2 linked regions of the Caenorhabditis elegans genome follow. The protein of the gene in region 1 purifies or fractionates together with the protein of each later gene. This does not show direct contact. Each region holds a gene or a part of one and is shown on either strand. Other genes may lie near its edges. The genes, in order: sbds-1 and natb-1.

What was found.
Region 2: the proteins of sbds-1 (region 1) and natb-1 fractionate together in Caenorhabditis elegans (co-fractionation; one large-scale study listed by BioGRID). This does not show direct contact.

The regions. Positions count from the first base shown.
Region 1 is NC_003281.10:635,743-640,222, reverse strand, and holds sbds-1 (Ribosome maturation protein SBDS), read left to right. Parts: upstream 1-1,803; 5' UTR 1,804-1,813; coding exon 1,814-1,947; intron 1,948-2,154; coding exon 2,155-2,284; intron 2,285-2,452; coding exon 2,453-2,524; intron 2,525-3,084; coding exon 3,085-3,510; 3' UTR 3,511-3,737; downstream 3,738-4,480. Other genes in the region: tag-266 (Golgin subfamily A member 7/ERF4 domain-containing protein), read left to right, coding at 13-170, 235-445, 896-1,066; eakr-4 (EAK-4 Related), read left to right, coding at 4,056-4,181. UniProt on the Caenorhabditis elegans protein: Required for the assembly of mature ribosomes and ribosome biogenesis.
Region 2 is NC_003283.11:7,982,010-7,985,163, forward strand, and holds natb-1 (N-alpha-acetyltransferase 20), read right to left. Parts: upstream 1,423-3,154; 5' UTR 1,409-1,422; coding exon 1,331-1,408; intron 1,282-1,330; coding exon 1,191-1,281; intron 1,140-1,190; coding exon 1,010-1,139; intron 963-1,009; coding exon 740-962; 3' UTR 648-739; downstream 1-647. Other genes in the region: F26D11.1 (Gluconokinase), read left to right, coding at 1-282, 436-628; abhd-12 (Serine aminopeptidase S33 domain-containing protein), read left to right, coding at 2,134-2,150, 2,219-2,340, 2,397-2,598, 2,645-2,887.

The sequences.
Region 1 (4,480 bases):
AATTCATAAAAAATGTCACATGGCTCACCAGCCCCATCGGCGTCGGTTTCCAGTGACGGCGAAGAGCCAGAAATAGACGTGATGCCGAGTAGTGACGAGGAATCCGAGCCAATATACATTCCAAAGGAGAAGGAACCCGTCGTGATTCGTGGAGTTGGAAATATCACAGTGTAGGTGGTTTTTAAGAGAAAAAAAGCTATATTTATCAAAAAAAATCATCGAATTTTCCTTCAGATTTGGCATGAATTCCCGTTTCAACACGGAATATCCGCCCGAACTAACCGGATATATTGCTCCAGAAGAACTCTCGGCGACACTGTCTCGCGTAAATTCTGTGCTCAAACGCCACGTACAAACGTCATCGCGCTGGCTTTTATGTGGATTAGCGTTTTGCTGTTGCTCAATTGGATGCTCAATGTGGCCGGTGTTATGTCTGAATCGGAGGGTAAGAATTCGAAAAATTAGGCGAGATAATTCGGCTCCGTGTTGATTTACGAGGATTTTTTCGCCGATTTTCCAATAAAATTCATCTGAAAAGTGGTTTGAGACACTTTGAATGGGTCTGCTTAATATTTAGCAGACCCATAGTTGGTCTGCTAAATATTTAGCAGACCCACAGTTGGTCTGCTAAATATTTAGCAGGCAATGGCAGTTATGAACTGTTTAGTTTGAAATGTTTGAAACACTTTGATTTAAGGTAAGAAAACCAACTGAAAACCACTAAAAATGTGGAAAGAAACCGCCAGAAACTCGAAAAATCTAGAAAAATTGTGCCGTGAAAAGCCTGTAATTTTTTTTTTTAACCAAAAGAACTGAAAAAATCTAGATAAAATCCCCGTAAATCGACACAGCCCAGTTTTCAGTTAAATTTTCTCTTAAATTCCCCAATTTTCAGACCGTCTTAGCGCTGGAAAAATGTCTGGACCACGAGAATGTTAGCCTTTATCACAAATTGGGCCTCCACTGGTCCCTGGCTCGGCGCCCAACGGAGCCCTCAGACCGCCTGACCGAATATGTGCTCGAATTGAAAACTTTGCCTAAACCCGCCTTAAATCTTCCCGATTAGTCCCCATCCGGAAATTGCGAAATTTTGCACATTTTTCGAAAAATTTCGCATTTTCGCCCACTGTTTCCAAACAAATTTGTACTTTTTTTGTTCTTCCATTTGACCTGATTTTTCCGTATTTCTGTCTATTTTTGTATATATTTCCCGATTGTCATCACCACCACCACTTCCCCCAATGCTTTATTCAGGGTTTTTAGTTTTTTTTTTTTTCAAATCGAATCTAGTCTACCAGGCTTAAATGACTGAAAATTGGCTTGAAAATTATTCGGAAAATATCAAATATACTGAAATTCTTTAAAATTTTGAAAAATATATCTACTTTTCCGAAAAAAAACATGAAAATTCTCATTTCTGAAACTAATGTGAGCTTTTTCGAATTTTTTTGAATCTCAGAAAATTTGAATTTTATCGAAAATTTTCCAATTATTCTTATATACCGAATTTTCAGTCATTTAGACCCAATTTTAACTAAATTCGAATCCGATTTTTCGTTTTTTCGACGCTACGACCCCGAAAAACACCCATTCTTCTCACCTCAACGACTGGTTTTATCTCTTTTTTATTTGATTTATCGACTTTAAAGTTTAAAAAAATTCAGATTCTCCGTTAAAATGAAAATTTAGATTAAAATTTTTTTTCGACATTTGAAAAAAAAGTAGTTTCAAATCTATTTTTATATCTCAAAATGGTCTCTTTTGTTTTAAAATTAAAAATGCCAAAATCTCTTAAAATTTCAGCCGAAAAAAAATGTCAAAAAATATCAAAACGCCGACAAATCAGAAAGTTCTGACCAATGTGGCAGTGGTTCGAATGAAGAAAACCGGAAAACGATTTGAAATCGCTTGTTACAAGAATAAAGTTGTTAATTGGAGAAATAAGAGGTAAAATATATATTAATTTTTAAAAAAATCATATAGAAATCTGAAAATTTTAATTCTCAAACCATTTTCTCAGTGATAAATAAAAAAACAGTTGTTTCTAAATTAACCTTTTGAATAATTTTGTTCAAATATTATTTTTTGGAATTAATATTTACCATATCAAAAATCAATTTAAACAATTTCCCAAAAATCTAAAAAAATTTTCAGCGAAAAAGACATTGACGAGGTGCTCCAAACCCATACAGTCTTCTCAAATGTCTCAAAAGGACAACTTTCCAAGAAAGAGGAGCTTATCGCCGCTTTTGGAATCGAGGATCAGTTGGAAATTTGTAAAATTGTAAGGAAAACTTGGATTTTCTGGAAAAAAAGAAATTTTAAAGTTTTTTTTTCAGATTAAAAAACATTTTGGCCTAAAATTTGGTGTAATTAGTGTTATTTGTCATCTAAAAAGTTGAATAAATTTATTCAAAATAGGTAGAAAAAGACAATATTTCCTAAATTTCAGATTCTCGACAAAGGAGACTTGCAAGTGTCGGAAAAAGAGCGTCAGGCGGCTTCAGATCAATCGCTGAAAGAGGTACAACTTGCCACGTAGCAAAAAATGAAAAAATTTTAGATTCCAGGCTAAAAACCTGTTTTTTTCTTTAAATTTTTAAAAAATTAGGTAGTTTTTTTCTCCTGAAAAATGTAAATTTTCCTCCAAAAAAAATCCTGAAAAATCTCAATTTTTCTTCAAAAAAAATCCTGAAAAATCTCAATTTTCGTCAAAAAAATTCCTGAAAAATGTAATTTTTCATCCAAAAAATTCCTGAAAAATCTCAATTTTCCTTCAAAAAAAATTCCTGATAAATCTTAATTTTCCTCCAAAAAAAAAATCCTTTAAAAATCTCAATTTTTATATAAAAAAATTCTTGAAAAATGTGAATTTTCATCCAAAAAAATTCCTGAAAAATCTCAATTTTCCTCTAAAAAATTCCTAAAAAATTCCTAAAAAATTTCAATTTTCCTCCAAAAAAATTCCTGAAAAATCCCAATTTTTTCTAAAAATTCCTAAAAAATCTTAATTTTCTCCCAAACAAGTTCCTGAAAATTTTTAATTTTTCTTCAAAAAAATCCTGAAAAATCTCAATTTTCCAGGTATCCCAGCTGATTGCCTCAATGGTCGTAAATCCTGAAACGAAGCGTCCAGTTCCACCGTCAGTAATCGATAAAGCTCTACAAGAAATGCACTTTTCCCTGAAACCGAATCGTTCCTCAAAGCAGCAGGCTCTCGACGCAATTCCAAAACTTCGTGAAACTCTGAAAATCGAACGAGCCAAGATGAAGATCCGTGTGGCGATTCCGACAAAAGAAGCGAAATCCGTGCACACGAAGCTTAAAACCCTATTCAGTGACGTGGAAGTTGACGATTGGCAGGATGGAAGCCTCGAGATGGTTGGGCTCATTGAGCCCGGATCGTTCAGAGCTTTGGACGATTTGGTCCGAAATGAGACGAAGGGACACGGAAGATTGGAGATTCTCAGCTTGAAGGATGTCGTCGAAGGAGAATTGCAGATTTCTTAAATTTCATGTTAAAAATTTTATTTTTTTGTTGCTTTTTTGCTCTTTTGCACTCAAAATGTGCAGACATTTTTGAGTGTTTTTCTTTTTTTCCCCTCCACACACCCGAGAATTCTTTTTGGATCTCAAATTGTTATCATCAACGTTCCCATGTTTTTTCCCAGTTACCAAAAACTTTTTGTGTCAGGTTTTCAGAAATCATTATTGCTTTTAAATGAAAAGTGTTAATCTTACAAATTTTTGAGAAAAACAATTTGGAAAAAAACCCCAGGAACATGATTTGAAGGCTAGAAAACTAATTCTCTAAGTTTCCCCGGCTCGAAAAAAATTCGTTCAATATTTATTTTCCATCACTTTGCATAATTTACAGTACTCACCAGGCCAGCGAAATTCATGAAATTGTACAATTTTCTTGTTGTTTTTCCAACAAAATTTAAAAATAACCCGGACTAGTCGAAAACAAGGCAGTCGTGGGGTACTGTAAATTAGGCGGCCTACCAAGTTGAGCCTTCGCCAAGTAATCCTCTATTTCCCTGTCACAACCGATAATGGGGCAATGTCTTGGAACCCTGTGCACTGTAGATTCAGCTACAGATAATATTTCCAGCGTCTATCAGCTGGCAGGCCCAGTTGCGGTGAAAGAGAGCCCACGTATTGCTGAACGGGACCCAAAGGTAATATTTTTCGTTTTTTTTTCAGAGTCTTATGTTTTCAATCTTTTTTGCTGAGAAACCTTCGAAAAAAAAAACAAATCTAAGCTTAAGTCTAAACCTAAGCCTATGCCTGGAGACACAAGCCTAAGCCTACGCATAAGCCTAGGCCTAAACCTAAGCCTACACCTAAGCTTAAGCCTAAAGGTTAGCCTAAGACTAAGCTCACACCTAAGCCTAAGACTCAGCCAAAGCCTAAGACTCAGCCTAGGCCTCAGCCAAAGCCTACGCCTAAGTCTATGCCAATTTCTAAGTCTATGCCT
Region 2 (3,154 bases), on another chromosome or scaffold:
AAGTACTGTTGGAAAAGCTCTTTCTGAGAAGCTCAGACGGCCATTCAAAGATGGTGATACTTTCCATTCACCTGAAAATGTAGAGAAAATGAAAGCCGGCACACCACTGAATGATTCTGATAGACTTCCATGGCTTCAAGCTATTAACAACTACGCAAGACTCAATCAAGGATACGTTATCGCTTGTTCTGCGCTTAAAAGACGTTATAGATCCATTCTTTGTGAACATCTTCCCAATGGAGCCAGCGGAAGAGCTGTTTTCATTCTGTTGAATTTAAAAAGGCAAGTAATGTTCAGCGCGCAAAAAAATGTGGTGAAAGAAATGGGCAGAAAAGTGAAAATGGACAACAAACAACTCAAATTCGCACTCGCTTCCGTCCGCTCGTTTTCCCACTTTCACACATTTTCACGCATTCATCGTTTCATTTTTTGCAGGGAAGTTCTTCAGCAACGCGTGAATTCCCGTCCCGGACACTTCATGCCATCTACTTTACTTGATAGTCAGCTGGCTACACTTGAACTTCCGAGTCCCGATGAATCAAATATCGTCACTGTTGATGCGAATAGTGAAAATGTGGATCAAATTGTTGATACAATTGTAAAGACTCTGGCATTGATTTGTGAATGATTCTAGAAATCTAAATAATATAAATAAATTTAATAATTTGTCATAACTGACAAGACAACCAACACAATAAACATTAAACAATAAATAAATACTAAACAAAACAATCTAAAATTAATCCACGTCTCTACTGTGCACGAGATAATTCAAAGGAACCATCGCTTTCTTTTCAGGATCGCGAGAAAGCGACTTCCGCATATCAAAAGCATCTTCGTCCCTATCTCCAGTGTAGTATCCAATAATTTGCCGGTAGACGACATATCCAAGCTTCTTATACAATTCGATGGCGATCTTGTTCGAAACACGAACAAACAGATCGACGAAATATGCTCTACGACTGAAAATTCTTAGATTTTAATAAAATATTAATTTGCCATCACTTACGCTTCAGAAGTACGTTCCAAGAACTCCATCATGTAGGCGGCTAGTCCCAATCGACGAAAATTTGGAGCCACAGAGAGAGCAGTTACATGTCCGTGCCAATTGGTGTCGCGTCCTTCGATTTTTCCCATGACTGAAAAATTAAACTATTTCACATTTATGTTTCATTTATTTTCAAACAAACCATAGGCCATAATTTCCCCGTTTGGATGTTCAGCAACTTGGTAATACTCCGGATAGTTCATCATATAGTGCAGGTAAAATTGGAAGCCATACTGCAAAAATAAATATATTTAAATTTTTTTTATTTACTGAGCAATTTACCGTTTCAGTGTTGATATCCAAGTTCACGTTATTGAACTTGAACATATCCATAACGTCGAATGGCCGGAGAGTTGTCATTTTTACTCGCAGTTCTGCAATATATTGCAATATTGAAGGGTAAATTTAAGTGTTATATTAATCACAAAGAAATTGCATTACTTGAGAGAGTTAACAAATTTTAAATTCGTTATTTGCAAACAAAATGGGAAAATAAATTTGGCGAACGCGGAAAAGAGTTGAAAAAGTGCTAAAACGAGGTGGCACTATTAAAAACGGTTCAAATAAATTTCGTAAAGGGCATAGCGCTGTGTTGTCAGAATTTAAATTATTTTTGCAGCTCGTTGATTTATTTTTAAGCATAAAACAAGCTATTATCAGGCTAATTAAGTTAAAAATTAATAAAAAAGAGTAAAATTCCAAATTAATTTGCAAATTCCTAAAGTACGCAAGTTTAGTGCGCGGTGTTTGCGGACTTGTCCACCGTAGTCCGTTGAAAAATTATCCTCTTTCGTTTTTTGTGTTTCAAAAAATAAATCGGTCAGGCGGTCAGGCGCTCCTCCTGACCGTCATCAAGTACAAACAAAACACTAACAGGAGAAAAAATCAATAAGTGACTAGCAGGGTGAGTATATTGTGTATACCTCTGCTTCTCTCTTCCACTTTTCTCTTTCTTTTAAAGAAATTCCAGTTTTTTTGCTTCCATTTTCACTTTCAAGTACACTATCTAATATACCTCATTTTGTATGCATTCAGGTGACTTGACTACTCGAATGGAAGCGGTTAACTAACAAAATATCAACATCATGCTAGGCTATTTTATGTAAGTTTAAATTTAGGCATTTTTCCACATTTTAAAACTTGATTTATTAAACGAAAATTTAATTTCAGTGTACTTATTCAACCGCTACTACTCTGTATCACAATTCTAGTCCTCTCAATTGTCATCTTCCTTCCAATACTGGTATATTTTCTTCCACGCTACACACAGTTCATCTTCTTTCTCAATTTCCGTTAGTTTTTCTTTTTTATCTTATCTTTTATCTTTGATCTATGTTACCTTGTTAAGGACGTCTGCCGAACACCGATTACAATGATTTGGCGTCGAACAACGTTAAATCAATCGGAAGATCTCTTCATTTGCCTGGAAAAAGTGGAAGGATTGGTGTTTGGCACATTCTGCCCAACAAATTGAGTTTAGAATGGAGAACAGAAGGAAAACATCCGACAGAGAGAGATTTTGACGATATGATGAGGGATTCAGAGAATCAGTAGGATTTTCAAAGAATGAATTCAAAAAAAATCAATAAATTTCAGAATTATCTTCTACGCTCATGGAAACTCGTTCGATCGCACATTCTACCATCGTGTGGAAATGTACAATTTGCTCAGTGATTGTAATTATCATGTCGTCTGTTTCGATTATCGAGGATATGGAGATTCAGAAGGAACACCAACCGAAAAAGGAATTGTTGAAGATACAAAAACAGTATACGAATGGCTGAAGGAGAATTGCGGGAAGACGCCTGTTATTGTATGGGGTCATTCGATGGGAACTGGGTGAGTTAAATTTATTATTTCACTGCAATCAGAAATTTTTAAACTCAATTTTTAAAGTACTGAGGATAATGCAAAAAAAAAATGCTGACTGATTTTGATATCAAAAAATACAAATTTAAGATGGCTTTTTTGAGCATAGCTCTAGTTCACCAAAATTAATAACATTTTTTCTTGAAAAATCGGGTTTCAAGAAATTAAAAACAGCTTCATATGTTGCAGGTGTAAATCAAAATTCGAAACTTCCATATTCAAAATTCGGAAATGTTT